Canis lupus familiaris: one gene and its partners. The protein of the gene in region 2 interacts with the protein of the main gene of each other region in a biochemical or structural test. Links are inferred from orthologs where the notes say so. Each region holds a gene or a part of one and is shown on either strand. Other genes may lie near its edges. The genes, in order: MAST2, RPS6KA1, GRID2IP, ARHGEF12, PARD3B, ARHGEF11 and MAGI2.

What was found.
Region 1: the proteins of RPS6KA1 (region 2) and MAST2 interact in a test that uses a peptide from one of them, tested with the Homo sapiens proteins (2 studies listed by BioGRID and IntAct, with this or other methods). The link is inferred for Canis lupus familiaris from reciprocal best matches to the Homo sapiens genes RPS6KA1 and MAST2.
Region 3: the proteins of RPS6KA1 (region 2) and GRID2IP interact in a test that uses a peptide from one of them, tested with the Homo sapiens proteins (2 studies listed by BioGRID and IntAct, with this or other methods). The link is inferred for Canis lupus familiaris from reciprocal best matches to the Homo sapiens genes RPS6KA1 and GRID2IP.
Region 4: the proteins of RPS6KA1 (region 2) and ARHGEF12 interact in a test that uses a peptide from one of them, tested with the Homo sapiens proteins (2 studies listed by BioGRID and IntAct, with this or other methods). The link is inferred for Canis lupus familiaris from reciprocal best matches to the Homo sapiens genes RPS6KA1 and ARHGEF12.
Region 5: the proteins of RPS6KA1 (region 2) and PARD3B interact in a test that uses a peptide from one of them, tested with the Homo sapiens proteins (2 studies listed by BioGRID and IntAct, with this or other methods). The link is inferred for Canis lupus familiaris from reciprocal best matches to the Homo sapiens genes RPS6KA1 and PARD3B.
Region 6: the proteins of RPS6KA1 (region 2) and ARHGEF11 interact in a test that uses a peptide from one of them, tested with the Homo sapiens proteins (2 studies listed by BioGRID and IntAct). The link is inferred for Canis lupus familiaris from reciprocal best matches to the Homo sapiens genes RPS6KA1 and ARHGEF11.
Region 7: the proteins of RPS6KA1 (region 2) and MAGI2 interact in a test that uses a peptide from one of them, tested with the Homo sapiens proteins (2 studies listed by BioGRID and IntAct, with this or other methods). The link is inferred for Canis lupus familiaris from reciprocal best matches to the Homo sapiens genes RPS6KA1 and MAGI2.

The regions. Positions count from the first base shown.
Region 1 is NC_049236.1:14,658,085-14,662,366, forward strand, and holds the start of MAST2 (microtubule-associated serine/threonine-protein kinase 2), read right to left. Parts: upstream 2,801-4,282; 5' UTR 2,503-2,800; coding exon 2,314-2,502; intron 1-2,313. UniProt on the Homo sapiens protein: Appears to link the dystrophin/utrophin network with microtubule filaments via the syntrophins. Phosphorylation of DMD or UTRN may modulate their affinities for associated proteins. Functions in a multi-protein complex in spermatid maturation.
Region 2 is NC_049223.1:72,914,096-72,918,376, forward strand, and holds the start of RPS6KA1 (ribosomal protein S6 kinase alpha-1), read right to left. Parts: upstream 2,801-4,281; 5' UTR 2,715-2,800; coding exon 2,580-2,714; exon of another isoform or gene 1,812-2,579; intron 1,791-1,811; exon of another isoform or gene 1,771-1,790; coding exon 1,654-1,770; exon of another isoform or gene 1,400-1,653; coding exon 1,318-1,399; exon of another isoform or gene 1,112-1,317; coding exon 1,031-1,111; exon of another isoform or gene 856-1,030; coding exon 776-855; exon of another isoform or gene 1-775. UniProt on the Homo sapiens protein: Serine/threonine-protein kinase that acts downstream of ERK (MAPK1/ERK2 and MAPK3/ERK1) signaling and mediates mitogenic and stress-induced activation of the transcription factors CREB1, ETV1/ER81 and NR4A1/NUR77, regulates translation through RPS6 and EIF4B phosphorylation, and mediates cellular proliferation, survival, and differentiation by modulating mTOR signaling and repressing pro-apoptotic function of BAD and DAPK1.
Region 3 is NC_049227.1:11,937,458-11,941,533, forward strand, and holds the start of GRID2IP (delphilin), read right to left. Parts: upstream 2,801-4,076; 5' UTR 2,707-2,800; coding exon 2,672-2,706; intron 73-2,671; coding exon 1-72.
Region 4 is NC_049226.1:13,554,684-13,558,183, forward strand, and holds part of ARHGEF12 (rho guanine nucleotide exchange factor 12), read right to left. Parts: intron 2,600-3,500; coding exon 2,524-2,599; intron 1,996-2,523; coding exon 1,828-1,995; intron 985-1,827; coding exon 897-984; intron 396-896; coding exon 309-395; intron 175-308; coding exon 95-174; intron 1-94. UniProt on the Homo sapiens protein: May play a role in the regulation of RhoA GTPase by guanine nucleotide-binding alpha-12 (GNA12) and alpha-13 (GNA13). Acts as guanine nucleotide exchange factor (GEF) for RhoA GTPase and may act as GTPase-activating protein (GAP) for GNA12 and GNA13.
Region 5 is NC_049258.1:13,109,824-13,113,930, reverse strand, and holds the start of PARD3B (partitioning defective 3 homolog B), read right to left. Parts: upstream 2,801-4,107; coding exon 2,681-2,800; exon of another isoform or gene 2,614-2,680; intron 1-2,613. UniProt on the Homo sapiens protein: Putative adapter protein involved in asymmetrical cell division and cell polarization processes. May play a role in the formation of epithelial tight junctions.
Region 6 is NC_049228.1:41,065,902-41,069,401, reverse strand, and holds part of ARHGEF11 (rho guanine nucleotide exchange factor 11), read right to left. Parts: intron 1,055-3,500; coding exon 875-1,054; intron 791-874; coding exon 743-790; intron 567-742; coding exon 379-566; intron 152-378; coding exon 5-151; intron 1-4. UniProt on the Homo sapiens protein: May play a role in the regulation of RhoA GTPase by guanine nucleotide-binding alpha-12 (GNA12) and alpha-13 (GNA13). Acts as guanine nucleotide exchange factor (GEF) for RhoA GTPase and may act as GTPase-activating protein (GAP) for GNA12 and GNA13.
Region 7 is NC_049239.1:19,579,186-19,583,194, reverse strand, and holds the start of MAGI2 (membrane-associated guanylate kinase, WW and PDZ domain-containing protein 2), read left to right. Parts: upstream 1-1,209; 5' UTR 1,210-1,267; coding exon 1,268-1,568; intron 1,569-4,009. UniProt on the Homo sapiens protein: Seems to act as a scaffold molecule at synaptic junctions by assembling neurotransmitter receptors and cell adhesion proteins. Plays a role in nerve growth factor (NGF)-induced recruitment of RAPGEF2 to late endosomes and neurite outgrowth.

The DNA of each region.
Region 1 (4,282 bases), on a different chromosome or scaffold from region 2:
ATCTCTCATGAATAAACTGATAAAATCTTAAAAAAAAAAAGGGGGGGTGCTTAGTTGGCTCAGTTGGAAGAGCATGGGACTCTTGATCTCAGGATCATGGGTTCGAGCCTCATGTTGAGTGTAGAGGTTACTTAAATAAACAAACTTAAAAAAAAAAAAAAAAAAAAGCCAGGATGCCTGGGTTGCTCAGTGGTTGGGCATCTGCCTTCGGCTCAGGTTGTGATCCCTAGGTCCTGAGATCGAGTCCTGCATCAGGCTCCCCGTCTCTGCCTCTCTCTCACTGTGTCTCTCATGAATAAATAAATAAAATCTTTTTTTAAAAAAAAGCCAAATTGTAATATGAGAAATGTATACAGGTAAGTAAGCTGAGACAGTGAATACAAACTCATTTTCCAAGAAGGTTGCTAATAAAGCAAAGAAGAGATAACAAAGTAACTTAGGTAAGTTACACAATCCAGGGAACCGTATTTTGCTTTTTTCGGAGGTATAGGACAAAAAGAAAATAAGACACATAACAAGGGCCTATATCAGATGAGAGGGGATGAAATCAAGCACATAAGCACAAGGATAGCCTCCGAGAGGAGGATGAATACTTCTTTCTCTAGAATTTAAGCAAAGGATGAGTGAACAAAATTTTGAGACAGAGTGTCACCTGGCTGGCTTAGTTAGTAGAACATGTGACTCCTGACCTAAGGGTCGTAAGTTCAAGTCCCACACTGGGTGGAGAGCCTGCTTGCTTGCTATATAAATACATAATTGTGAGGTAGGGAAGAAGGGAAAAATCAAATAACCTTGAACTCTTCAGTGAAGCAGGTCAACTGAATCAAGTAAACTAAGTCAGGAGAGGATTAAAGGATTAAACATCTTAAAAGTTTCAATTAGGTACTGCAGAGAATATTTTTAAAAAGGATGAGGGGGGCGCCTAGGTGGCTCAGTCAGTTAAGCATCTGCCTTAGGCTCAGGTCATAATCCCAGGGTTCTGGGATCCAATCCTGAGTGGGCTTCCTTTCCTGCTCAGTAAGGAGTCTGCTTCTCCCTCTCCCTCAGCCTGCCACTCTGCCTACTTGCATGTGCTCACGCGCTCTCCCTCGCGCTCTGTCAAATAAATAAATAAATAATCTTTAAAAGTTAAAAAAAAAACAAGAATGAGGGAGTAAATTATAGCCAGGGACAACATTCAGTGGCCTGAAACCAAGGGCAGAGATAGGGAATGAGGCAGTCTACTCGGAGCTGGGTGTAGAATAAAAGGTGAAAGAACAAAAGGAAAAAATCCAAGTGCCAGCATGTGCATCACTGAAACTGAACAATGAAGAATGATGTCTATGTAAAATACTTATTTAACTGATGGAAAAAGAGGCAAATCTACTAAAGGTCTTGAAAAAGTCAAGGATGAAGTTACTAGGGCTGAACAAAAGGAAAACTGTCATAGAGTTCATTACTACAGAATATGTTTTTGCAAAATCCATGCAGTCAGGACCACACAGTCTCCTCTCATTGCACCCTCTACAGCTACTTTCTCCTCCCTGATACAACTGACCTTTATCCCCTATTTCTAAATACACCTACGCTTGATTAATGAATTATACACACATCCTGTCCATTCAGAAACTCCACGAATACGTTCACACTGCTCTCTATCTCCGTTTTCCTAAGACGATGTTTTCAGTGGTAAACTCCCAGAAGACAGAGCCTATCCCTGTAAATTCTCTATTCGCGGCGCTGGATTTGGAATTGCACATATGCAGGTGTTTTAAAAGTGCTTTCTCGTGAAACAGATCGTTACGGAAAAGAATCTTGAAGATTTGAACGCACTCCTCCAAGACTATATAATAATGGCCAAATCAAAGAATGCCTAGAAATGACATCCGTTTTTAATAACAGTCAAGACAACCTCTGGTAAAGAACATTTACTACATCACATTGATTTTCCCTACTTTACATACACTATTTACCCCTCGGGCCAACTCCTCAGTGTCCCTCTAGTGAGCCTATTCTTTGCAGTTCATTTACTCCCAGGCCACATTCCAGCGTCCCTTCTTCGCATCCAGTATCCCTGACTACAGACGCCCACAGGACCATTTCTTCCAAATCCTTGTTCCCCCACTTCCATTCAACCCCAGGCCATGACTTCCATTTCTCCACTCCCCATTTTTCTGCCTCTCCAGACCTTCCTTTCCTCCGGCCGAACTACATAGTCCCCACCCCTCCAAAGCCCTAGCCCGTCTTCCCGCCGGAGGACCCCCTCCCCCACTGCTCCCATTCAGGCTCCCGCTCCCCATCCTCTCCCTCCCGGCCGCCGGCCGGCCGCCTTACCTGCTCCTTGACCTCGGGCCCCGAGGGCCCGGCCCGCTCCTCCAGCAGCTGCCTCCCGGGCGGCGCTCGCCGGCGCGGCGGCAAGGGCTGGGGCTGAGGCAGCTCCGCCGCCCGCTGAGCCCCATCCTCGCGGCGGCCGGCCGGCGACGGCGGCGGCTGCGGTCGGTCGCGGCAGCGGCTCCGCTTCATATCCGCGGCTGGGCCCCGCGGGCGTCAGCACCGCGACTGTCCCGGCCCCGCACGGCCCCGGGCCGCAGCGCTGCCGCGCCAACCACCGCCCGCGGCCACCATGGCCGGGCGGGCGCCCGAAGCCACCGACCCCAGCTCGCAGCTCCTCCGCGCTTTCTGGGGCCTCAAGCGCCGCGACGTCCTCGGCGCTCCTTAGGGAGGAGGCAGCATCCCCGCCGCCTCGTCCTCTCCCACCCGGCACACGCTCGGCGGGCCACCCGCCGCCGCCACAGCCGCCACAGCCGCCGGCTCCACAGCCAGCAGCCAGCCGGCCCGCCCGCCTGCCTCTGGCCCGGCCCCGCCCCTGCCCTCCCCGCCCCGCGCGCGCGCACGGGGAGCCCGCCCGCCGCCTCTGGCCGCGCGCCGCCTCCCGCGCACGCGCCGGCGAACGGTCGCGAGAGACCCGCCCGTGGCCTCCCCGCGAGGTGAGCAGAGCGGAAGGGGGCGGGGCTCCCGGCGCGGCTGCGGCGGCGGAGCGCGTTCATTGATTCTTTCATTCATCCATTCATGAAATTGTGTACCCCGCCAAGCTAAGCGCTAGGGATCTGAAAAGGAGTTAGGATTGAATCAGTGTCTTCAAGGATCGAGCGGGAGAGGGACCAGGAACAAGAAGACAAAATATACAATTAATTGATGGAGCACCCACCGTCCTTTATTGACAGTTTTACGGAGCACTCGCCAACTGTCTTCACGTCACACTTTGGATGCAGGTCTGGTCATTCTCGTCTTACAAAGCAAGAAGACCGAGGTAAAGTGACACGCGCCAGGTCAGTCGGCAAACCACTGATCAAACTAGACGACTCAAATTCTTGCTTTCTGTCCCCTTTCTACTGTTTCCTGCTGCTTCCAGAAAGTAAGACAGGGTATGGAAAGTCCTATAGACGAGGAAGACATGATGGATTCCTTCTGGGAGGAACAGGAGGACACAAAGGCTTCTGGAACAATTCTCATGATTCCCCACTGACAATGAAGTCATGTTATAGCCCAGTCCAGCCTGGCCACAGCCAGTCCAGCTGTGGCCTGGGCAGCCCTGCCTGCACTTCCAGTGACTCATCTTCACAGCAACGTGGCTGTAGCTCAGCCCTGTCTGGCCTCCTCCTTCTGGCTTCAGCTGGGCTGCCACAACGTTGTATTTTTCCTCTTTTGTCTTGAACACAGTTCTCTCAGTTTATCCTGGGCCTCTTCCCTAAACCCTCTTTGGGAAGTAATAATAGCCAGCATTATAGAGTGCCTCCTGGAAACCAGGCTGTGCATTCTATTCATACATACACAAACAAAAGTTATATTATTTCCAGTTTATAATTGAGGAAACTGAGTCTCAAGTTACATAACATGCTCAATATGACATAGTTCATAAGTGCAAAGCCAAGACTCAAACCAAGGTCTGTCAGACACCAGACCCAACACACATAACCAAATATACAGCCTATCACCAGTTGGCTCCTGTATTCCCAGTTTCAGTTCCTCACCACCATCCGTCTAGTTGCCTCAACCAGAAATTTGGTTGTCATCCTAGACTCTTTCCTCCCCTTCTGCTCCCATGTCCAGTTAATCAACAAGTAACATTGCTTCTATAACCTTACTATCTTTCCAATCTGTGTCCTCTTTCCATCCCACTGACACCACCTCAGCTCAACTCTTACTTATTCTCACCTATTTGACTAAGAAACTTTATAAACTGGTTCGCCTACATCTACTCCTTTTCTTTTCAAACCCATCTTCCAAAAAGCCATTATAAGAA
Region 2 (4,281 bases):
GAGTCTCTCCATGTTCTGATATGGATTGATCTCTAAGATACATCATCTCGAACAAGGCAAGATGCAGAACAGTATATACAGGGTAGTACTTTTTGTAAGGAAATGGGGGTTGGAATTCAGAACATGTATCAGAATGGTTTGTATTACTAAAGAAACCTGGGGCACTTAACCAAGAAATCAATAAAAATGTTTACCTATGGGGGCATAGAGGGATGGGGTGGGAGGAAGACTTCTCAATATTTTTATTTTCAATCATGTAAACGTATTACCTATTCAAACACTAAAATAACATTTAAATTTTTTTAAAAGCGTGTTTCTCTTCTCAAGTTTGACTTATATTAATGGTCCCATTTTAATATCTGGCTCAAATTCTTTTATGTCAGTTAAAATCCTTTTGGTTAACACATGGGACATAATGTTAAAATATCTAAATTTCTGGGCAGATTTGGATTTCTTCCCATCCTCACAGCCCTGCCTAGGGCAACCTCGGAAGAATGGAGGTACAGAGGTGAAAGAACCCTCAGCTCCTGGGAATCAGAGTGGCATCAGAACCATGGCCTGATCCTCCTCCTCCATCCTGGGAGAAACTCTGAGGCTTTGCCAGGGTGTACGCTCTGTCCCAGAGTGGGTTCCTAGGTCGGGTCTGCGGGGCAAGCCTGAGTGGTCCCAAGTCCAAGCCACACTGGACATGTTCTTCACTGAGCCCTGGGACAAGAGGTCTCGTTGTCCCTCCAGCTCCAATCCGGGGCCCAATGGCAGTCAAGTGTCAGCTTACCTCTTTAGAGAGCCGGGTAAAGAGGTCTCCACCACGCAGGAAGTCCAGGATAAGATAGAGCTTTCCCTCCGTCTGGAAGGCTGGGGAGAGGGAAAAGGCAATGGTGGAGCCAGCTGGGCCCTGGGCCCTGCCCCTCTACCCTAAGCTCCCTTTGTCTGCTGGGGTAGGGGTGACCTAGGGGAAAGGTAGTAGCCCACAGGCAAGGGCAAAGGCTGGTAGGTCGGGTGGGAGTTCAAGTAGGGTCTGTGATCTCACCATAGTGCAGCTTCACCACAAATGGGTGGTTCACATCTGCTAGGATGTCTCTCTCCATCTTGGTCCGAACGCGGTCACGCACTGGCCAGAAGAGAAACGCAGTCACAGATAATCTAGCCCCTCAAAACAGTCATCCCCAAGCCCTGGCCAAGAAGGGCTCTCTCTTTCATGTGTCCCTCCCATCTCACGGCAGTGCCCAGAGTAGAGCCCTTGGCACCCTGCCCATCCCACTAGTCCCATCTCCTGTGCCCAGTTCGGCTCTGCTTGGGGAGGTGACCTTCACTCACCTTTCAGCGTTGCCTTCTTTAGTACCTTCATGGCATACAGGTGCCCACTATCAGGTCGGGTGATTTTCCGCACTAGGAAGACCTGAGAAGGCAATGGGAAAAAGCAGAGAAATTGGGGAGGGGACTAAGCCTATCAGCTCCTATCCTCTGGGTCCTAGGTTGACCTCTAATTTTCCAGAGTCCTAGGTTGACCTTCGGGCCTCCCTGGGTACCAGAGTGACCTCCTGCCCTCCCCTCAGACCCATCAACCCTTGCCCTCTGATCCTGAACCCCAAAGTGACCCCTAACCCCCACCTCTGACATGAGTTGCCCTCCCAGTTTGGGCTCAGGACTCACTTTGCCAAAGGATCCCTGGCCCAGAACCTTGAGCAGCTCAAAATGGGATGGGTCGGCCTTCTCAGAGCCAGCCTTGACATGGTGCGTGATGGAGATCTCCTTTAGGACGCCCTCATCCTGATGGAGGAACAGAGCTGGTGAGTATGGTTGTCCCATCCAGGTGAGCAGGGAATATGGTCCCCATCCTAGCCTACTCCTCCTGGAGGCAGGGCCCTGTTAGCCATACCAGATGGCCATACTGATGGGGCCAGCCTGCTGGTTCATCAATACCAAAAGGGCCTCAAGGGCCAGGGATGGTCAAACTACCAAGGTGCTGAGTCAGGGGGAGGCACTGCTCCTACTGCCCCTGCTGCTCTGACCTGGTGAGACCCAAAGGGATACCCAGGCACAGCCCAGGTCCTGCCTGTGGGACTCCCCTCCCCCTGCTGCAAAGGTGTTAGTTTTGCCACAATAGGAAGTAGTGTGTATTCTCATACCGGGGAGGTAGAGCCAGGCTTTTGTTCCGGGTCAGAATGGATGAGAGGATCCTTGGCCAGAAGGACAGTGCTCAGATGCACAGACACTCAAGAGTCACTAGAGACCACCCCCACCAACCCAGTAAGTGCCAGTCAGGGGTGGACAGGAGCTAAGGCCGAGACTCCATGATCCACTCTTTGAAACTTCCTTCTAGGAGTTTTCTAAAAATCCGTTGCTGGTCCTAGTTGTTCTAGGACCCTTCTGCCCTCCCTCCAATCTGCCGGGATTGCCCTGGAGCCCTGAAGTGCTTCCTCACTTCCCCAGGAAGCAAGTCTGGGCAGGGTCCAGTTGTCCAGTAGGGCCAGGCCTGGGCTAGGAGAGCCGGAAGCCAACTAAGGCCAAACTAGCTGCCCAGGCACCTGCTCCAAGGACCACAGCTGGGCCAGGACCACACATCTGGGCACACTCACCAAGTCCCGCCTGGGGCCAGAGCCAGGGCCAGGGGCAGGCAAAGAGGTCTGGCTGGTCCTGGGCCGCTGCTTCCTGGGCAGCCAGGGGAGCAGGGCCCAGAGCCGCAGGCGGGGCGGCTTGGGATCCTGCTCCATTCGCCCGGCAGGGCCAAGGCACCATGGCAGGAGCAGGCAGCGTCCGGGGCTGCCTCCGAGGTGGCCGGGCCCAAGGCGGATGTGCAGGGTGAGGGCGGGGGCTGGGCCCAGCTCAGCACCGCCAATCACTTAGGGCCTGTGGTTTCCCAGCTCCAGGCCTACAATCTTACCACGTTCCCTTCCTCTCTTTTGCCCCCCTCCCCGTTGCCTGAGTGCTGCCCTCCGGCCCTCCCCCTTCCCCCATCCTCCCTGTGGGCCTACAAAGGGAGAGCCCCATGCCACTCCAGCTGCTGAGGGGGAGACAGGTACCCAACAGGCAAAGACTGGCATCTAACATGCAGAGGCAGATAAAGAGGGACACCCAACAGATAGAGGCAGGCATCAACAGGTAAAGACAGACCAAGGTAGGCATCCAACAGGCAGAGGTGGGAGGGTACACATGCCCACCAGGCAAGGATGGATAGGGACACATACCCAGCAAAGGGAGGTAGGAAGAACACTTACCCAATGATCAGAGACAGATGGGGACATGTACCCACCGAAACAGAGGCAGGAGGGAACTCATACCTGACAGGTAGAGGTGCATGGGGCATATATCCAACAGGCAGAGACAGAAGGGGACGTGAACTCAACAGGCAGAGACAGATGGGGACCCAACAGGCAGAGGCAGATGGGGGTTTGCATCCAACAAGTGGAGACAGATGGGGACATGTACTCAACAGGCAGAGACAGAAGGGGACACCACCCAACAGGCACCCAACACGTGACATGTACCCAACAGGTGAAGACAGGCACTCATCAAGTGGCAAGAGACAGGAACCCGACAACAGAGGCAGGTGGGACACAGAAAGAGAAAGCCAGTCAGTAAGGCCCAAGTAGACTGACAGATACCCAGGCCAGTGCACAGAAAGCCAGGCCCGGAACTCAAGGGCAGAGCTCTGGGTTCTTGCTAGTCTTCTGGGAGGTGGGGTGGGGGAAGAGGTGAGGGGATATCACCTGCAAACATCCTGCATCTTAGAGAGCAGCCCAGTATTCATGGCAGACACACCTCTGAGGTTTCATCCCATGCCAGGGCCTGGAGAGGCCCCAGGACTAACACAGTGGGCTGAGAATGCAGTCTGATGGCTTTGACTCTGATCCAGGTTTCCCAAATCTGTTATCCCCATTTCAGATACAGGAAACCAAGGGCCAGAGGACCGTGACTCACCCAGCCTGAGAATGGACCAGTGACAGAGCCAGTGACACTCAAACCCTTCCCCTAGTTACTGCCTGGCATGGGGTCAGCAGGCCTCAAGTGCCAGGAAAGGGTGAGCAGGTAAGTCAGCGAGAGCCATGCCCTGCCCATCCAAGCCCATCCCCTCCCTCAGTACCGGGATCAGTCCAGGGACTTCCCATTCTAGGTCTAGGACCCGACAGACACGGCCCCATCTTCAGGGGACCTCAGAGAGCCACAAAAGCTACAGTCATAAGAAGCTACAGGCTCTTCAGGCCCCTGAGCATAACCCTGGGTGGGACATAGGGATTGAGGTGAGCCAAGGCCACACAGCAACCCTTGCCCACCCCGCCC
Region 3 (4,076 bases), on a different chromosome or scaffold from region 2:
CACAGCTTGCCCAGCAGACCCTGCGACACCACCTCGTCGAAGCGTGCTCGGTGCTTCTTGGGGATGAAGATCCTGCCGGCGAGGACCGCTGAGTCGGGGCGCGTCCCCAGACCGCGCCCTAAAAGTCTCCTGTCTTGGGCGCCGACCTAGGCTCTCCCCCCGCCCCTCCCGAGGGGTAACAAGGGAACCAGCAGCCGGCGCCTCATTCTCCCCCGCGGTGCTGGCACTTGCGCCCCAACCGGCGGGGGCGGGGGGGTGGGCACACAAGGACCGCGGTGCCTGGCTCTCCACCTCGGAAAAGTCACAATCGGACCGCCCCCATTACTCAGGGCCCCCAAATCCCATCCGTGGACCTTTTCCTCCTCCTGTCTCTGCCTTCCCACTTCTGGCCTTTCTCCTCATTTCATGCTCTTGCACCTGCCAGGCCAAACCCCAGCAGGGATCCCCCACCACCCATCTTCTTCTTACCTGATGCCCGGCAAGTCTGCTGGAGGAAATTGAAACCACAGCCCGGCCACGGTCAGACTTCCTCCAGACACTCATCACACTCCCAGCCGTCCTGCTTGCTTCTCTGCCCAACCCTTTCTATAGCTGCCTCTTCAGAAATTGCCAGAACCGCCACATCCAGCCCTACCTCTTACACTCTTGCCCTGGCTGCAGCCCTTCGCCCAGGGTCCTCTCTCTGCTTCCTAGCTACACTGGGCTCAACCTTCAACGCCCAGCGCTGGCCCTCTGTGAGTTTGATCTTACATGCTTCAGTAAGACTCTGTTGTCTGTGCCAGCCAGGCACTTGGGTTCAGAGCTGAAGGCTCTGTGGTTCCTCCTCTCAGAGAGGGCACCTGGATGTGATGGGAGGCAGTGGGGAGGCTTGGATGGACCCTGTGCAGAGCGTACACCCTGGGATGATTCCCTGGTACCTGTGAGTGTCCTCTGCAAGGCTGGAAGTTCCCTGAGGGCTAGAGCTGTAGCTGGGCTGAGAGCCATAGTGACCAGTCAGAGTTTGGCACGGGGAGGGACTCAGTGACTCAGGAAACAAGGGGGGGGGGGGGTCCGCCAGCAGCATAAACGTACCTCTCCAAGTAATGGCAGAAGTTAACATCCTAGTGGACTCTCTGTGGCAGAGGATCAGGGGGCTCAGAGGAGATCTGTTAACTTGCCAGGGCTACACAGCTGGCCCTGGGCACAGCTTGGACAGAAGGCCAGCCTCTGAGCCTCAGCACTGTGGCAGGACTCTGCTGAGGGCCTCTGAAGTTCTGGTTGCTAGTGAGGCCTCCCTGACTGCATCCCAACGTTCCCTTCCATGCTCTTTGTACCAGGAGCCAGTGCCAAGGGCATGGTGGGGAGGAGGAAGGAAGATGGGAACAATGGCTCTGCAGCCAACTGAAATACAACTCCTCTGAGGTTGTTTGGAGTCCTCCACTTAGTTCTCCTGACTTCTATGGGTAGGATTTTAATAAGACCAGGCAGGCAGTATAAGCTGCCTGCTAGGGGGGGAAGGAATGTGGATCCTCCAGGAGGCGGGTGCATCAAGGCTGCCCCTCAGTGACCTCTGTTCTGGGTCTGAATGTTCTAGGAGGCCAAAATGAAAGACCTACTCAACTCCTCCAGGAGCATTCTGGCCTGATGCTCATCCTCACCCATTCACAGTGATTCCCAAAAATCTAGAGCCTAGGCCTCATTCCCCAGATGGTTACTCAAGGTCCCTGGAACCTGACACCTCCATCTGCCTGGCCTGCACATTACCCACACCCTCCCAGATCTACCATGTGCCTCATGCCCAGTCAAAGATGGATGACAAGCTGGAGATTGTCCACTTCATGCTTTGGGCTCTAGCCTCAGGCTCCAGAAGACCCTAGGTCCAACCTGGGCAGGGGCCAGATGACCATCCCAGCCCTACTCTCCAGCAGCAATTCAAAAAGGCCTTGCCCCTCACCTCCCCCCACCCCGGTGGTAACCATGGTGAGTCACCAAGTGCACAGGTGGGAGATGATTGGTAGCCTTTTCCCTGCTTTGCGTCCTTGGGATTAAGCCAAAGCGCAAGGCTGCCTCATGAGCCAGATGCCCTTCCTGGCTTGTGTTGGCCCTCCATGCAGTCACGAGTCTGGGCTAGCCCTGGGCCTGCTCTGAATCCACTCCCCCCCCCCCCACCCCAGGACAGCCAGGCACAATGGGGCCTCATGGACCACTGTGGCACATCACTGCTCCTCTGACCCTGACAGTACAGCTGCCCCAGGATGTCCAGGTCCCTGCTATGCCAACAGGCTTCTTGGAGACCACAGGGCTCTTCCCTGGCCACACAATGTTGTCAGCCAGCTCCGTTCCCTCTGCCTGGGGGGTCAGGTGCAAATCCGTGTCCAGAGTCTTCCTAGAGGCTGCGCTAGGGTCCTCTCTCTCTCCACCACATCCCCAGTTCCCTAGACCTGCCCAATCGTAGAAAGGAAAGAGGGCTTTCCGGTCCCGACCCTCGGTGCCCTCCGACCCCCATCCCGACCCCCAGGGGCGCGTGGAGGTTCCAGGCATCCAACGCGGGGAGCTCGCCCCCCTTGCGCCGGGTGAGTGTCCACCTCAGTACCCCAGCCCCACCCCTTCTCAGGCCGCCTGAGGCGGGTCCGCCGCGCCTAGGGCGCACAGTTCCCGGGGGCGCGGGGCGCGGGGCGCGGGGGGGAACTACCGAAAGTGCCGAGAGAAGCCCTGGTCCTTCCCCATCTGGAGCCGGCGACGGCGGCGTGGCAGGTGCCGGCAGGTATGGGTGGCCAAGCCCGCGAGCAGAGCGAGGGCGCCGCGACTCCGCCAGCCTCTGCCGGGCGAGCGCACTCGGCCCCTCCCGAGCCTGCCCGGCCCGCGGCCCCGCGCCCGCCCCCTACGGGTGGCCCCGCCCCGCCCCGCCCCCACGGGGGACCCTCCGGCTAGCTCCCGGGGAGCTGGGGGGCGGTTCAGCGCGGCCAACGCCGCTTCCTCTCGGCCGCCCCCAGGTGTCTCGCCTCCAACCTCTCGGGCCGCCGCGCCCAGGTCCCCGGCACCGTGGCGAGTCCCTGGCACCTGGCTGCGGCGAGACTGAACCCCACAGTTCGGAAGAAGCCCCGACTTTCTTTGTAGAGCCTGCGAAGGCTTTCCGGAGGGTGTGGCCTTTGCGCTAGGGAGCTGGTCCGCGAGGGGAAGCCCTCCTCACCTACCCAGGGCAAAGCGCCAATCAAGATGCGGCTAGAGAGGGAGGCCTTGAATACTATCGCTGAACTCTGAGAACACTGAGGAGCCCGGGGAGGGTCTCTGGATTTAAGGAGAGGAGGAGGGACCCCAGGGGTTTTGGTGCACTCGGGGAGTGGGTGAGGCTGAGAGGGGAACAGGGAAGGGTGTGGAGTGGGGCAAGTGGCTAGCTTCTAAGAAACACAGAGGAAAGGGAATGTATGAGATCTGATGAGTGAGTGAAAATGAGGAAGGAGAGTCAGGTTGGGGTGTAGGGGAGGACAGAGGGTCTCCTCCTGGGAGAGAGGATGGGAGGACCAGCTAAAGGTAAAAGAGGGTGATAACAAGAAAGGGAGTCTGGACCTTTGGCTCTGGGCCTGCTGCTGGTGGAAGTCAGAGCAGGTGCTCACTGCAGGGAAGCTACTGCATTGTCATTTCTCGGTGGTCCTGTCCCGCTTGCGGGTGGAAGGGCACATAGATACCTGGGAACCAGCCCAGGACATCCTGAGGAGGGGCTCCTTGGGGGACATTAACACAAGGCTCTCTCCTCACCAGGCACTGGCCACTACCCAGACAGACTGGAGCTGCAGAGGCAGAAAACCCTAGGACTCTCCCTGTGTCTCAGTCGCTAGAAGGAAGGAACATCTTACATGGTTCTGCCTACAGGTTCCTGCAGCGGGTCACAGAGAGGCACCTACAGGCCTGATGGTCTGACTGGTACTGGGTTCGAACCACGCTGCCCGACACCTCAGCCCCCACGTTCCTGGCCCCAGTGAGGCCACCACCTTCCTGTGACCAATCAGGGCTGCTTTTCTCCCCAGCAGCATTAGGAAGTCAGAGCCAGCACTCATGCCACATCCTTCCAGGCCTTGTCCTCAGCCCTGCCAGGGAGA
Region 4 (3,500 bases), on a different chromosome or scaffold from region 2:
AACTGCATAAACCAAAAGACTTAAAGTTTCTTTGCATTTTAATAAGTAATGTATAGACTACATTCTTCCAGGTAAACCTAATGGATCAGTTTACCTGGACTCTGCAAACCAGGGACTGAAATGCTATGATGTTCCACTTTTAACTTTGGAGCTGCTTCTTCATCGTTGTCTCCTCTGTACAAGAAAGAAAACAATCTTTCAGCTTCAAGAGATGCCCAAACATCACTGCAGTGAAAGGTAAGGATCATCCGTTCCTTTCCTGATCAAAACACAGAGTCAGTCCTACTACAACGCAAATGCACACTCACTCGCAAGGTGGTGACTGTGGCAATGGGATTGGCTTTGCGGACTGTTCCTTCACTGATGCAGCCATCCGACAGATTAGGTCTTGCCAGCTGCAGGAAGTGTGAAAAGGATCCAAAATCCAAAAGGGAAAGGAAAAAAAAATGCCCTTTAAATATACACTCAGAAAGAAATAATAACAAAAACAAACCAGAAACCAAACCAAGCCAATCCAACAAAAAAACTCTATTTCCACCAGAGAGTGTCTTTATTTTGGCAACATTAGGTAGAGATGATAAAAAACACTGGACCTTCAAGAAAAACCTAAGCAAACAATGTTATGGATACAGCACGCATTAAAAACCTTTGCTTGATGCTTCTGAGAATTGTTCTTTAGAAAAGATACTTTCAATAGCATAGCGCTAAAACAAGGGACATCAATCTTGAGAGGACCACGTTCTTAGACAGTATCTCTTAAAAAATATAGAGGAAGTGGTTTTTTCAATATAGTTTTTGGTTCCCGAAGTATTACAAAAACCAAGTTTATAGAATGTTATATTCTATATATCTATAACAAAAACTATTAGAGCAAGGTAGCTGTATCTAATACATACACAGTCTTTTCAGAAACAGTCTGTGCCACCAGTTCATAAATCTGGGCTCCATTGTCTGACATGGAGATGACAAATAAAGCTTTGTTATCTGGAAGAAACAAGACAAAAATTACTCTCACAACATGGATATGACCTACAGAAGCCGTGAAGGATACTTCTCGGGTCCTGGTTTATTCTGCATCTTAATCTGGGTAAAGGTTAATGTGCTCACTTTGTAAAAATTCATCAAGCTATAAAGTTAAAATTTGTGTAACTTATCATATGTTACATTGTCTATGTTATACTCCAATAAAACAAAGATCCTAAAAACTAGCCCGGGTTCCACATAGAAACAAGGAGGTGTACATACATCTGAATTACTCAACACGATGACATTTTTGCATTTATTTTGAATTGCCCTGTTGCTAAATTGTTAATTAATGAAATTTAGTAAATGATGAAGAAAAGAGGTCGTCAGCTTATCTTGCCACTATGGAACTGACAAGTTTGAAAAGGGATCCCACTGTTACTACGGTTAATGTATAATTTGCTAACTTAAACTGATTTCAAAAAACCCAAACTACACCCACCTCTCTGTTTTTGTTTGCTCTTTTACCACAAATCAAAAAGCATACCACTCTCATGTAACTCTTTTCATTGGGATTATCCCTCAATTCACCATCTTCCGTGGTAGTCTGTCAATGATGTGAACATGGACTAAAGATTAAAGCGGTATGCAGGAAATTTTCAAGAGCAGAAAATTGCTCAGAGAATCTAGGCACCCCAAAGAATTTGGGGGTAGAAACTCTTTAAGTAGTAACCAAATTTCATTTCATTTGTTTAAGAATGAAACAGAAACTCTCTACCAGCTGGGCTGTTTAAACAATACCAAGGATCTCATGCAACTTTATGATGAACCTGAAAGCTACTGTCACTCTGTGGACATACTTGCCTGTTGCCACTTGTCGAACCAACACTGTATTCAACTTAATGACAGGGCTAAATGTGTGTTTGCTGTCAGCCGTGGATGCCAGAATCTTACTATGACATCTTAACACCAGTCTATCATCCTGCTTTTGTAACAATACAAGAATGTCTTCCAGCAGCAATGTGTATAGATCTGGAAACCAAAATGTAGAGAAGGTGATTAGTGTAGAAACTGAGATGTGTTTTATAAACTTTGTAACAATTTGACAGAGAAAATTTATTTCTGTTAAAGCTAATACATTTAAAAAATTGACTTGCTATTGTCTTTTTTAGTTCCATTTTTTAATAATTCATTTTTATATTGTATCGCACCAAAGCGTCAGTCGGTGACTGACAAGAAATTAAAAAAAAGCCACCATGATTCCTCAGCATAGATAGTTTGAAATGGAGTGGTTTAAAGAAAGCTTATTAGAGAGCTCATTAGAATACAAGAATGATGGAGACATGACTGAATCATGACAAATTTTTCTGCTTTTCCCCCTCAGTGAACATTTAATGTACTTCACCTATAAAGAAATACCATAAGCAGATCTGCAAATATAACACAGGGCAGCACTGCTCACTGCTGTTGCCAAAATCTGTGAACGGTTGTTTCTTCTCTTTGGCCCAAAGGAACTTTAATTTCTCCACTCTCCGTAAAACTGACAGACACGATACCTACCAATAGTTTTATCTCGATTCACCTTCCAGACCAATGGCCCTTCATGAATCATCTTCCTTTTCGTTAAATCCAAATTCTGCCAAAATAAAGAGAATTACACACAAATTATTTCCAAGCTCTGAGACGATATGCCATAGAGTCTCTTTTCAATAAATTCTTTATATAAAAGATACCATTTACCTTCACTATCATTATTGGTATTTGCGAACTGCTGAACATGGAATAAAGATCAAGTTACAGTAAGCTGCATACAATTTCCTAAAAAATTAGAGGTATCTTGAAAAACATTCAGAGGACTGCCTTCCAAGTCTCACAATAAATATATGATAATTGCTTATGAAAATGAAGTTGCAAGCATTCAGCCACTGGATTTGCAGCCCATCTAATTATTCTATGAATAGCTAGATGAGGATGATGCATAGTTTATCTATCTGTAAGAGGCCTGTGAGTGCCAGGCTCTAGTTCCAAACAAAGTTCTAAGGAACAGTACTCATGAAAAAGTCCAAGTAGTACTTGATCTTGCTCTAAATATTAATAATTTATTTTATCAAAAGATTCATTCGTTCGTTCATTCATTCATTCATTCATTCATTCATTTAAGGGAGGGAAGGGTAGAGGGAGAGAGAGAATTCCAAGCATACTCCCTGCTGAGCATGGAGCCCAATGTGGGACCCTGAGATCATGGCCTGAGCTGAAAATCGAGAGTCGGACACTTAACCAACTGAGCCACCCAGGCACTCCTACTAAATATTAATAATTTAGTAAGAAAATCAGCCCTTAGTATAGGTAGCTCTAGAAAAATCTCATCCTCTGGAAGTGAAGGCTAAGCGTATTAAGCGTGCTTTTTGATAAGCTGCTCTCTGTGATACAAGTCTAGTCTACCAGCCACCAAATACAATTTGCAAAAGCAACCCCCTACTGAAAGAGCACAAGAAAGAAAATCCTAAGCAGTTCCTTAATACAAAAGCCTCATGTAA
Region 5 (4,107 bases), on a different chromosome or scaffold from region 2:
TAGGCCTATACTGTATAAGATATAATCAAGAGGAACCTGTGCAGGTCACAAGTCTCTGCAAGAAACAAAATGGCCATCTTTAGGTTGATAGGTTACTACAGCAGCTTGTAAATGGGATGGCCTTTGTAAAACAAACTAAAAAATAAATAAGATGGATAAATTCCAATGCATAATAAACTACCGGGCTGTGCACAGCGACTCTGAGTAAGGATCCAGAGACTCGGTTCCTGGGTTCAATTCTACCACATGTCACTCATATTCCTGTCTCTTTCTGCCCCCATCTGTAAAAAGAAACTATCATTACCTGCTTCACGAGGCCATTTAACTTACGTAAAGGTCCTACAACACTGTCTGCAGAGAGTAAGCACAACTCATGTTATCGTTATGTTTTTATTACTGAGTGTGGGGCTAAAAACCTTGCTGTCCAGGCGAGCAAGCTTTTTAAATCTCTTTCACTGATTTAAAGAAAGTGAACTGACGACAAGTTGTTTTTCAAATTGAATTTTGACATTTCTGGTCTTTTCTCATTATTTTCTATATTCAATGAATGAAAGCATGGAATTTGACAGATTATTTCTTGACATTTTAGTTCCATTAGGAATACCATTTAATATTAGTTAAGCCTTGTTATGATCACAATACTATTTAAATGAAACTATGGGAGAGAGAGATTTGGGGAAGAAAAAATATCACTTGCCACTTATTAAATTGAGATTTTAAAAGCCAAAGAAGGGAGGGAGGATTTATAAACTGCAGGTGACCTTTAAATGTCACATTCACTAACATAGAAATGTAAACATAGAAAAATGTAATATCTGGTAATAACAGTAAACTGATCAATACAATTACATTACAGGTTCTGTGATATTATAAATTATGCTTTCGGTACAGGATATCAATAGCTTTTTAACACTTTTTAAGATCAAATTATAACACACTGAATTTCATCTAGTCCTCTGTTATTTATAAGTATGTAGCTTACTTCTATTATTGGACAGCTCCATGTTCTAAGCTTCTAAATACACAAGATGTTAGAGTATAAATTATTTGTACCATTGAACTAGTAAAAAAGTAAACTGATCTCATTAAGATGATCCTTCAATGACATGTAATAATTTGTCTAGAATAATGTTATTATTAACCTTAGCTTACTTCCAAAAGTTAGGGAAACACAGTTCCAAGAACTAGATACTTGTGCAAATCTCAGTTCCTAACTGAATTACACAATACCAGACAGCATACACTATTGTAACAGTGGGGGGGGGGGGGGGGGGAATGGGGTACTCATGCAGTGTTACAGGCCATTTCTACAGTTCTCAAAGCAGGAGAACAAATACTAAGAGAGTCACTGATCTCAAATGCAAGAGTTTATGACTTGTCATTTTTGAAGAGGATTTGGGGTAGACTGTTCTATTTGAAGATTCAAAAAAGAAAAAGGTGCTTTTCAATGCCTTCATTTAAAGATTCCAATCAAGAAGACACAGAATCCCAGTATGATACCCAAACACCTATCATGAACTCCAGTGTCTAGCTAAGTCTTCTGAAGACGCACTGCACACCTAAAAGTAATAGTCACTTAACTTTTACTTGTTTCTGATTTCAGGGACAGAGCTGGGAACCATCTACTCAGTAGTCACGCAGGGCCTGACACAGCACGCTCGCTAGTAAATACTTAATAGAACTAAAGATACTCAAAACGTAGACGGGTTAGTGGTGGCAAACAGCATCCTTCCACCGAAGTTCCTGTTCCAGTCACTGAGGGCGAACAGCTCCCAAGAGTTCAATCCCAAAGGCCCCAACAGTTGTAACTTCCAAGGGTCTGCGACTGGCACCAACCAACCTTGTAACTCCGAGGGACAGAAGTGGAGCGGGCCTTCGCCCTGGTCAAAAATCACACCTGGAGGGGGATCCCCGGGTGGCTCAGCGGTTGAGCTCCTGCCTTGGGCCCAGGGCGTGATCCTGGAGTCCCGGGATTGAGTCCCGCATGGGGCTCCCGGGATTGAGTCCCGCATGGGGCTCCCTGCATGGACCCTGCTTCTCCCTCTGCCTGTGTCTCTGCCCCCCCCCCACTCTGTGTGTCTCTCATGAATAAATAAATAAAATATTTAAAAAAGAAATCACACCTGGAGGGGGATCCCCTGGTGGCTCAGCGGTTGAGCCCCTGCCTTGGGCCCAGGGCGTGATCCTGGAGACTCAGGATCGAGTCCCGCATGGGGCTGTCTGCATGGAGCCTGCTTCTCCCTCTGCCTCTCTCTGTCTCTCTCTCTGTATGTCTCTCATAAATAAATAAAATCTTAAAAAAAAAAAAATCACAGCTGGAGCAAGCAGCACCTGCAAACACTCGCCTGAGAGAAGCGCTCTCTGGAACACCTTCCAAAGCAGCGCTTCTCGAACTTCACTCCTCATTCCAAGCACCGGGGAGCTTGTTTCGCCCCAGATTCAGAGGCAGGGGGCGTGGATGGGGCGCCGGGTCGAGCATCCGCAGCGAGGCCCCCCAGCGACCGCCCTGCGGCCTTTGCTGCCGCCACCCTGAGAGGCAAGGCCCTCCCCACCCGCCCAAAGACCTCCTCCAGGTCACCGGCGTTGCCGCACAGGTAGCGAAGTTGCGCGCACAGGTAGCGGCCGACGCCGTCCCGGGCGGGGCCCCCCGGCAGGTGCCTCGCCCCCCGCCCGCGCTCACCTGCTCCCGGGTCTTCAGGTACCGCTGCAGCGCCTGCTGCGTGAGCTCCCGGACGCGCAGCTGGCCCTCCTTGCAGGGCACCACGATGCCCGTCCTGCCGAAGCACACAGTCACCTTCATGCTGGGACAGGTGTGCGCCCCCGGGCACAGCGCCGACCGCGGGGGCTCCGGGCCGCGCCCCCTCCGCCCGCGGCTGACGGCGAGCGGGGACCCGGGGGGGGGGCTCGTCCCGGGCAGCGGGTGCCCCGGGGGGGGGGGGCAGGCACCGCGGCCCCTCCCCCTCCTCCCCCTCCTCCTCCTCCGCGGGCTCCGGCTCCCGCTCGGCCCGGCCCGGCGACCCGCGGCTCCGAGCTGCGGGCCGGGCTGTGGCCGTGCCCCGGGCGTGCCCCGGTCGTGCCCGGTCGTGCCCCGGGCGTGCCCCGGCCCTGCCCCGGCCCTGCCCCGGCGGCGGCGGCCCCAGGCCCCAGGCCCCAGGCCCCAGGCCCCGGGCTGCAGCGGGCGGCGGCGGCGGCGGCGCGCGCGGGGCCGGAGTTGGGAGGAAACTTTTGCGCCGGATCAACTCGGCGGCGGCGCGAGCGCGCTGGGCCCCCGCGGCCCCGGGGCTGGCCTGAGCCCGCTCTTAAAGGGGCCGCGGCGCTCCCGGGCCTGCAGCCCCCGGGAGCCTCGGCCCCTCCTCCCTCGAGCGCTGCCCCGGCCCGGGCCCTCCCGCACAGCCGCCGAGCCCTGGGGACCTGTAACGGGACCTGAGAGCCACCCGCCCGGGAACTGAAACCGGATCTCCTGAAGCACCCTGGAGGGTGCTCCCTCCTCGAGCTGGGAGGCTGCGGAGCTGCACCGACCGGGGGGGGGGGGGGGGGGGGGGGAGGACTGGAGCGAGACGCGAGCAGAGTCCGGAGCAGGTGCCTGGCGCCACGCCCACCCCCGCCCCCCTCCCCCTCCCCCTCCCCCTCCCCCTCCCGGGGAGTGGCGGCTTACAGGTGCTGAGCTGCAGGTTGGCCCGAGGGCCTGCCAGGAGCCTTGTCTGCGGCAGAACACCGACTCTGTCCTCTGGCAAAGCCCAAGGGTTCTGGGGGATAAACGTGGTGCTGCAGCCAACCCTTCATATCACAGAGGAGGAAACTCTTGCCCCAAAGGTCACATCCCAGACCCAGAAATGATGCATATGCTTCCATGTATCCTTCTGAAATGGGCCTCCTGTTGTGCATCTGGCTACAAAGACCATTTTAAACACGCTGAGGCTCAGGTGAGTGTTCACCACCAATTAAAATAGGTGTATCTGAAAAAAAAAAAAAAAACTCAACAAAAAAATATTTGTGTCATTCTCAGCTCGCGTAACAACGAGCTCCTTTGAGCCTGACAACGACCCTGGGAGGTAAATGTGTTTCCCATTTTGTGCATGAAGAATGTGCTAAGGGAGGTTAAGGAAC
Region 6 (3,500 bases), on a different chromosome or scaffold from region 2:
TCACTGTGGATCTCTATGAGCTCGGGCAGGTTGGGGAAGAGCCGGGCCAGCTCCTCCCGAGGCATAAGGTTCTCCTTCTTCATCCGCTGGTAGAAGATAAGGTCCAGTACCCGGAGCGTGCGCAGATGGGAGGCCTCTGTCACAAATAGCTCTGAGCAGAGTGGTCACAGAGTGGGAGCAAGACAAAAAAAAAAAAAAAAAAAAGAGGTCAGCAGGTATCCAAAGTGACGACCGCTTCACTTCTGAGGCCACCGAGCACTGGTGTCAGATGGTATGGCAATGTCCCCAATCCCAAGGGCAGGAATGGTGACCCAGCCTGGACCTGTCCCTGGGTGCTGCCCGACTCACTGCCCACCCATCAGAGGCACGTGGCCTCACCGTTGATGACCTCCTGCCGGTCGATCTCCCTCTGGCTCAGGCCGGCCACCACGTCCTTGCCCACCGTGTGCTGCCAGTTCTGGGTGTCAGGCTCGGGCTCTAGGTCAGACAGCTGACCCAAGTCATCCTCCAGGAGGTGAGGGAGGAGGGCGTCAGTGCAGAAGCCCAGGCTGGGGGACTCAATGCTCCTGGGGGAGAAGGCGCAGCTTCACGAGGAGGAGGGACTCACACGAGGGTTCTGTCCCTCCGTTTCCTGTGTACTGCGCCGTTTGTCCTGAGCCCGCGGGAAACCAGTGGCCATGAGGAGGAGACGCACACCCACCCAGTCACTCAGGGACGGGAGCGTGGCTGGGCTGTCACTCACCTGCGGCCCATTTTGGGGGTGAAGGGAGGGGTTGGGTTCTCCAGAGACCTGTGGAGAGAGGTCAGTTCTCAGTGCCGTCGCACCCACCCCGCTGGGCCAAGCCCAGCCCCTGACTGCCCCAGCCCTGCCCACCTGGTGGAGAGGCTGGAGGCAGAGGAGGAGGCGGACTGATGGAGGCGGGCCGCCTCTGCAGCTGCATCCATGTCCACGTCGCTGCGAGAGCGGGGCACGTTCTCTGCCTTCCGAGACCGCTTCATCTCCTCCCGACCCTTCAAGCTCTCGGAACGGCCCAAGCGAATCTCTGAGCGGGAGCTGGGGAAGTAGAAGAAGACACCCTGGGGCCTCACGTCCCCGAAAGCTTTTATCGGCTGCCCTGACTCGGGGTGCCTGTGGCCTCCTGCAGGGCCCAAACTTCTCAGTGACAACTCCCACAGCTGTCCTACCATCTCCTGCCTCTCCTCCTCCCTGTGACCCACCAGGAAGGTGAAATCTGGGATCAACAGATCAGATGCCAAAGACTCCAAACACTCCAGGAAAGCTTTGGACACCAGAGGCCCTTACCAGGGACTACCAGGTCCCTGGCTCTGCTCTGGGCCGTGTGGTGGCCAGTCCCTCTTGCCTCTGCTGGAGCAGGTCAGCTCCCACCATGGACTCTGCTAGAGGCAGAGCTCTCCTTTTATAGGATTTTCTCCAGGGAGCTATAGGTGTTACCCTCACACACCCATCCAGGCCTCCTCACAGGCCTGGCAGAGTGTCTACCTGCTGCCAGGCTCTTGCCCTTCCAAGCTGTGGTGTAGATTCTCCCATTCTTAACTTGTAGTATACCTCCTAGCTTCCACTCCCTTCCTGGGGGCAGGCTGGCTCGGGAGGGCCTGTCTACAGACTGGCAAGAACCTGCCTGTGGCCTGCCATGTTTGGCCATCAAGTGTCTCTGGGACTTGAGGTGCCGATGGCTGAGTGTTGCTCCTTTCTGCATCCTGCAGTGCATGAGGCCTGTGATAGCTGGCATCTCTGAGCCCTGGCTGCCCCAGGATGGTGCCTCCCTGCACGGCCCTGCTGGGTTGGTTCTTGCTGATACTATCACTGATCTACATCCTGCCCTGCATCTAGGACCACAGGCGGCCTGGAGAGCATGCAGGGTGCTTAAAAGCACAGCAGGGTTGCAGCGAAGGAGCCAAGCATCTCAGTCTGCATTTATAACGGTTCTCTGAACTGCGAAGGACTCACATGGAGCTGCCCCCCTGGGGTCCTGAGGGTTAGAAGCCACGCTGCCAGCTGATCCCCTTAGAATACCCTGAGGTCTGCTAGAATGCCTCCAACTGAGCCTGCTAACAGCACTTTCACCAGTGCCCCACAGCGGGCCACCTGAGCACTGGGACAAGCCACCTAGCGAGACTCTTGGAGCCGCAGAGCTGAGTGCCTCCCTTCCCAAACCCCTAAGTGAGTAACACTCCTCCCCATGAGTGGGGCACACACCCACCTCTGGCCCCTAGTCCCTAAAATACCACTTTCTGGAACTAAGGTGTGCCTTCTATCTGCTGGCCTCTGCCCCCTCTGTGCTGCTGAGATTGCCAGTGAGCCGGCCATGGGCCAGGCCAAAGGCTGCCACTGACAGGGGATTGGGAGTCTATTGAGTGAGTGTCTTAGGGTACAGTTATAACCTAGCAACTTTAAGACCACAAGTTTGCAAAAGGCCTCAAGTTATCCTCGAAATACTGTTATTCTGTCTGTATAACTTCATTTGACACATCTTTAACTCAGGTTTCTATGTTTAATTCATTCACTAATATCAGAGCTCAAGCTCTCAGCTCAGGACAAATTTAGCTTTCCTCTTCCCTTAAATTTTTGTCAGTTCTCCCTACAGCAGTCTGCCCACACGGCCGAAGCTTACAGAGGCTTACTGCAACAAGAGGAACCCCGTGTATGCACAGAACGGCAGACTCATGGTGTGACGATGGTTTCACAGGTAAAATGGTTTGACTACCCAGGCCGCTACCTGGAGGCCGGGAACACCCCTGCGCTGTGGATCAGGCTTGGTTGCACGCGCGTGTTATTTCTGCACATGCAGGACCACATGTACTACGTACAGCTCGAGGGTAACTGAGGGAATGCATACGGACCTTTCTGACCAGGGGTGGTTTTTGCTAAGTGCTGGCTAGAGGATTTGAAACAGGACATGTCTGCTGTCACACCACAGTCAAGAGTAAGTCCAATGCCAGAAGGGGTCTCATTAGAACCTGGCCGAGATGGAGGCATGCGAGATGCCACAGTGTGCAGCCCCCTTCTTGTTTTCGAGAGGGGAAGAGCGGTTTGCTTTGAGGCTGCAGAACCCAGTCTCTAGCTCTCCTCCTCGTGTCCACAACCATCTCTGTGTGGCCTCCCTATCTCCCAGGATCTCCCCTGGCCACCCCGCCCCAGTCTTCTCCAGCTTGTCACCTAGGGTGTCTGGAGTAGCTGCTCTATTACACCATCTAGCTCATTCTTGGTTCTTGGGACAGAGGCTGCGGAGTAGCCCGGGGATCCAAAGGAAATGTTAAGGGGAAGCAGTCCCTGGGCTGGGAGGTCAGGGGCCCAGCTCTGCCTTTTGCTGGCCTGACCACCAATACAGCACATCTCTTCCTAAAGATCTCCAGGCGGGAAGGTGGTGGGAAGAGTTGTGAGTTCTGCAGTGGGAACCTTATGGTGCAGTGGAGTCGATGAAGCAGCTGGGATTAACCCAGGCTCCCCTCCTTGGGAAGGTGGCTAGTGCCTCCCCCTC
Region 7 (4,009 bases), on a different chromosome or scaffold from region 2:
AATCCAAATCTGGTCTGTTTGGGTGGACTGCACGCACGTTCTCAACTGCACTTGCCTCCCACTCTCCTCATCCCAGACATCAAAAACCTGAACTGCTCGGTGCTTTTCAAGCTTTGCTCTAAAGAGAAGAGTGGGCGTGCAACTTTTTTTTCCTTTTCTTTCTCAAACGTATCATTTTGAAATAAAGCAAATGAAATTCATTTACCAGTTCCTGGAATTTTAAAACTCACTAACATCCTATTTAAGATGAGTGAAAATGAGCATCACCTTGGCGCCCTGGTCCTCGCCTCTCCGCCGGCTGCAGACGCGGTGGGGCCGGGGCCGGTGGGGCCGGAGCGGGTGGGCCCGGGGCCCCGGCGGTGCGGAGCTCGCGCAGAGCCCCTGGTGCCCGGGGCCGACCCGCGGGGGCCTCCTCCTGCGGCAGCGGCCCGAGCCCACGAGCCCCCCCCCCCGCCCCCCCCACCCCGGGATGCGCTGCCCCGACCCCCGCCCCGGGAGTCCGGCGAGGAGTGCGGCGGGGGGGGGGGGGGGGCGGAGGCGACGCCGGCCCAGCCCGTCCCGGGCGCGCCCCGCCCGCCTGCGCGGCCCTCCCCGGGGCACCTCGCGGGTCGGGGCGTCCGGGCGCCCGCGCAGCCCCGCGGCCTCCCCGCGGCCTCCCGGCGGCCGGTCCCCTCCCCGCGCCGCCTCCTCCCGTAGGCTGCCCGCGGCCCAGCCTGCCTCTCTCTCCGCCTTCACTACCGGGTCAAGCTGCGGAGGGAGGGAGCGAGCCCGGCGAGCCCCCCCGCGGCCCCACTAGTGCACACTCACTCACACTCGCGCGCACACGCACACGCGCCCCGGACCTCGCCGCGGCCACTGCGGCTGCCGCGGGCCCCGGCCCCCCCCCCCCCCCGCCCCGCCGCGCGCAGGAGCGGCCCCGGCCCCGCGCCCCCCCCGCCCCCGCCCCCCGCCCGCCGCGCGGCTCCCGCTCGCCCAGCCCGCCGCCGCCGCCGCCGCCGCGCTCCTCCGCTGCGGGGCCACAGCCCCGAGTGTCATTCCAGGGACAGCAGCCCCGGCCGAGCCGCCCCCCCGCCCGGCCCGCCGTCCCCGCCTCCTCCCCCCGCAGCATCCACGCTCCGTCCCGAGACGAGGGGACGCGCCGGGCAGAGGGGCAGGAAGGCAAAGTCTGATCCCTCGCCGCGCGGCGCCCCGGCTCCCCGGGCTCCCCGCCCGCCTCCCCCTGCCCCGCAGCAGCCCCTCGGGAGCCGAGGCCGCCCACCCCACTGCCATGTCCAAAAGCTTGAAAAAGAAAAGCCACTGGACGAGCAAAGTCCATGAGAGTGTCATTGGCAGGAACCCGGAGGGCCAGCTGGGCTTCGAGCTGAAGGGGGGCGCCGAGAACGGGCAGTTCCCCTACCTGGGGGAGGTGAAGCCCGGCAAGGTGGCCTACGAGAGCGGCAGCAAGCTGGCGTCGGAGGAGCTGCTGCTGGAGGTGAACGAGACCCCCGTGGCGGGGCTCACCATCCGGGACGTGCTGGCCGTCATCAAGCACTGCAAGGACCCCCTCCGCCTCAAGTGTGTCAAGCAAGGTGAGCGCGGCCGCCCGAGCGCGCGGGGGGCGGGGAGGGGGCGACGGCGGGGCCGGCGGGGGGCGCCCCGGGGCGGGGAGGGGGCGACGGCGGGGCCGGCGGGGGAGCCCCGGGGCGGGGAGGGGGCGACGGCGGGGCCGGCGGGGGGCGCCCCGGGGCGGGAGGGGGGCGACGGCGGGGCCGGCGGGGGGCGCTCCCGGGGCGGTGGGGGTGCGACGGCGGGGCCGGCGGGGGGCGCCCCGGGGCGGGAGGGGGGCGACGGCGGGGCCGGCGGGGGGAGGCTCCCGGGGCGGTGGGGGTGCGATGGCGGGGCCGGCGGGGGGCGCCCCGGGGCGGGAGGGGCGACGGCGGGGCCGGCGGGGGCGCCCCGGGGCGCGGGGGCGCACGGGCAGCCGCGCTGTGCAAGGTGCTCGGCCTGCGGGACCCCGGCGGCGCCCGCGAGCTCGGGGGGCGCCTGGCTGCGCGTCGGGGCTCGGCCCGCGGTGCACGGGAGCCTCGGGGCGGGCGCAGGAGCTGCCCCGGGCGCCCTCGGGGCGGCTGGGCGACGGCCAGGGCAGGGACGCGGCGCGCGGGGGCTCGCCCGGCTCTCGGCGAACTTTTCCCGGTCGGCCCGTGTCCCCCCGCCCCCCCGCGCATCATGTGGGCACCGCGCGTCACGTGCGCCCTGACTAACGGGCGCTCCCGGGCCGGCGGCCGCAGAAGGCTCGAGAAGGCGGGCGCCCCGGAGAGGAGCGGGGGGCGGGGGCCGGCGGCCCGGCCTGGGTCCCCGGGCCTCCCCGGAGCCGTGCCGGGCCGCGGCCGCCGCAGCTTGCAGGGCTCGGATGGGCTCCGATGGGCTCGGCTCTGCCGAAGGGGAAGTAGGTCCCGGCGGAGGGCGGCCCCGGGCCCGGCGAGGCCCCCGCCCCGAGCCCGCACGTGCGCCCCGTCCGGCCGCCCCCGCCCGCGCCCGCGCCCGCGCCCCCGCCCCCGGGCCTGCGCGCAGCCCGCCCCGACCCGGCGACCGCCCCAGGACACCCTCCTGGGGGACCGTCCGCTCCATGACGTCCGCTTAAAAAGTCAGCGAGGGAAAGAGAAGTCTCGGGCAAAATTTCTAAAGTACAAATTGCCGCACAGGACAGCGTCCTCACTGGGCTGCCGGGGCTGCCGGCCGCCGGCTCTAGGCCCCCGGAGCTCACAGCTGCGCGCCCCGAGCATCCAGGAGTTTGGTAGGAAGGCAGGCTCCTCTCTTGCTACCGTGCTGAGGCTCAACCAGAGGGATGCGTGTGAACGTATTTGATGCCATGATACTGTCTTAGGGCGGTAGTTCCCAGGGTAGAGTCCTTCCTGCCCGCGCCTTGCCTGGCAGCAGCTCAGCATTTGGAGGGGTCGGTGGCAGCGGCAGGCGGTGCGCTGTGAGATCCCACTAATGACAGCATCCTAATGAGGTGACGGTCCCACTGTCATTGGCGGCGGTGGCCACATTTTAGTGTTGTCTTCTTTCTGAGCACCGCATGGTGAGGAGGACCCCGGCAAACTGACTCTAGCAGCAGCAAGACTGTGTCCAAAAAAAGAAAGAGAGGCAGGTCAATCGGTATCATAGATCTATTCCATAAAATCCAATAGGAAGGCTTGGAAAAGTGAGGGCATGAAAGCTATCATTATATATGGAAAGGCTATCAAATAAGAAAAGGAATTTTGACTATCCGGTGATAACTTCCACAGGGCAAAAGTAAGATAAATTCATAGAAAATTGTAAAGCATGAAACAAACGTCTTTGTTTACATGAAAAAGATGAGCTTTCTAAAAAAAAAGAGAAAGATGAAGAATAAGATGAGCTTTCTAACGTAATTTGCCAAAAATCTTGGGCTATATTGTGAATTCATGAGCTCCCTGTCATTTGGGGTCTTTATGAAGAGGCCAACATGACCAGATGCCGTGAGTCCAATGTAGGATGGGGCCTGGACTAGATGTTATTTAAATCTTGCAGTGATTTGATCCAAGGTACTCTCTGATCACTCAACTTCTATATAATATTTTATTTGAAAGATCATCGCTTTTAGAACTCACGGAACATACAAATATAAAGTGATATATATATATATAAATATATAAAGTTTTCTAAGGGAAAAATCTCTCTCCTTTCTGTATTCACTCTCAGTTCTGGGCTTCACTTGGTCATTGATGATTGATGCTTGTCATGATATTCAGAGTCCCCGGGAACCTGATTCACGTCCTGAGTCATTATTGATCAAAAAAGAAAAAAAAAGTGCTTCCCTTAACTTTTGTGGAAAAATATAATCTTCTTGTATATTCTTCTAAATATGATGATTCATATATGCTATTCCTTTATTGAAATCATTCTTTTCCTTGCCAAACAACATATAGGTTTATTTTATGGATCATAGTAAGCAAAGTAAAATTTCCATACTGTTAGATAATGGTGCCTGTATCTCTTGGGTTTT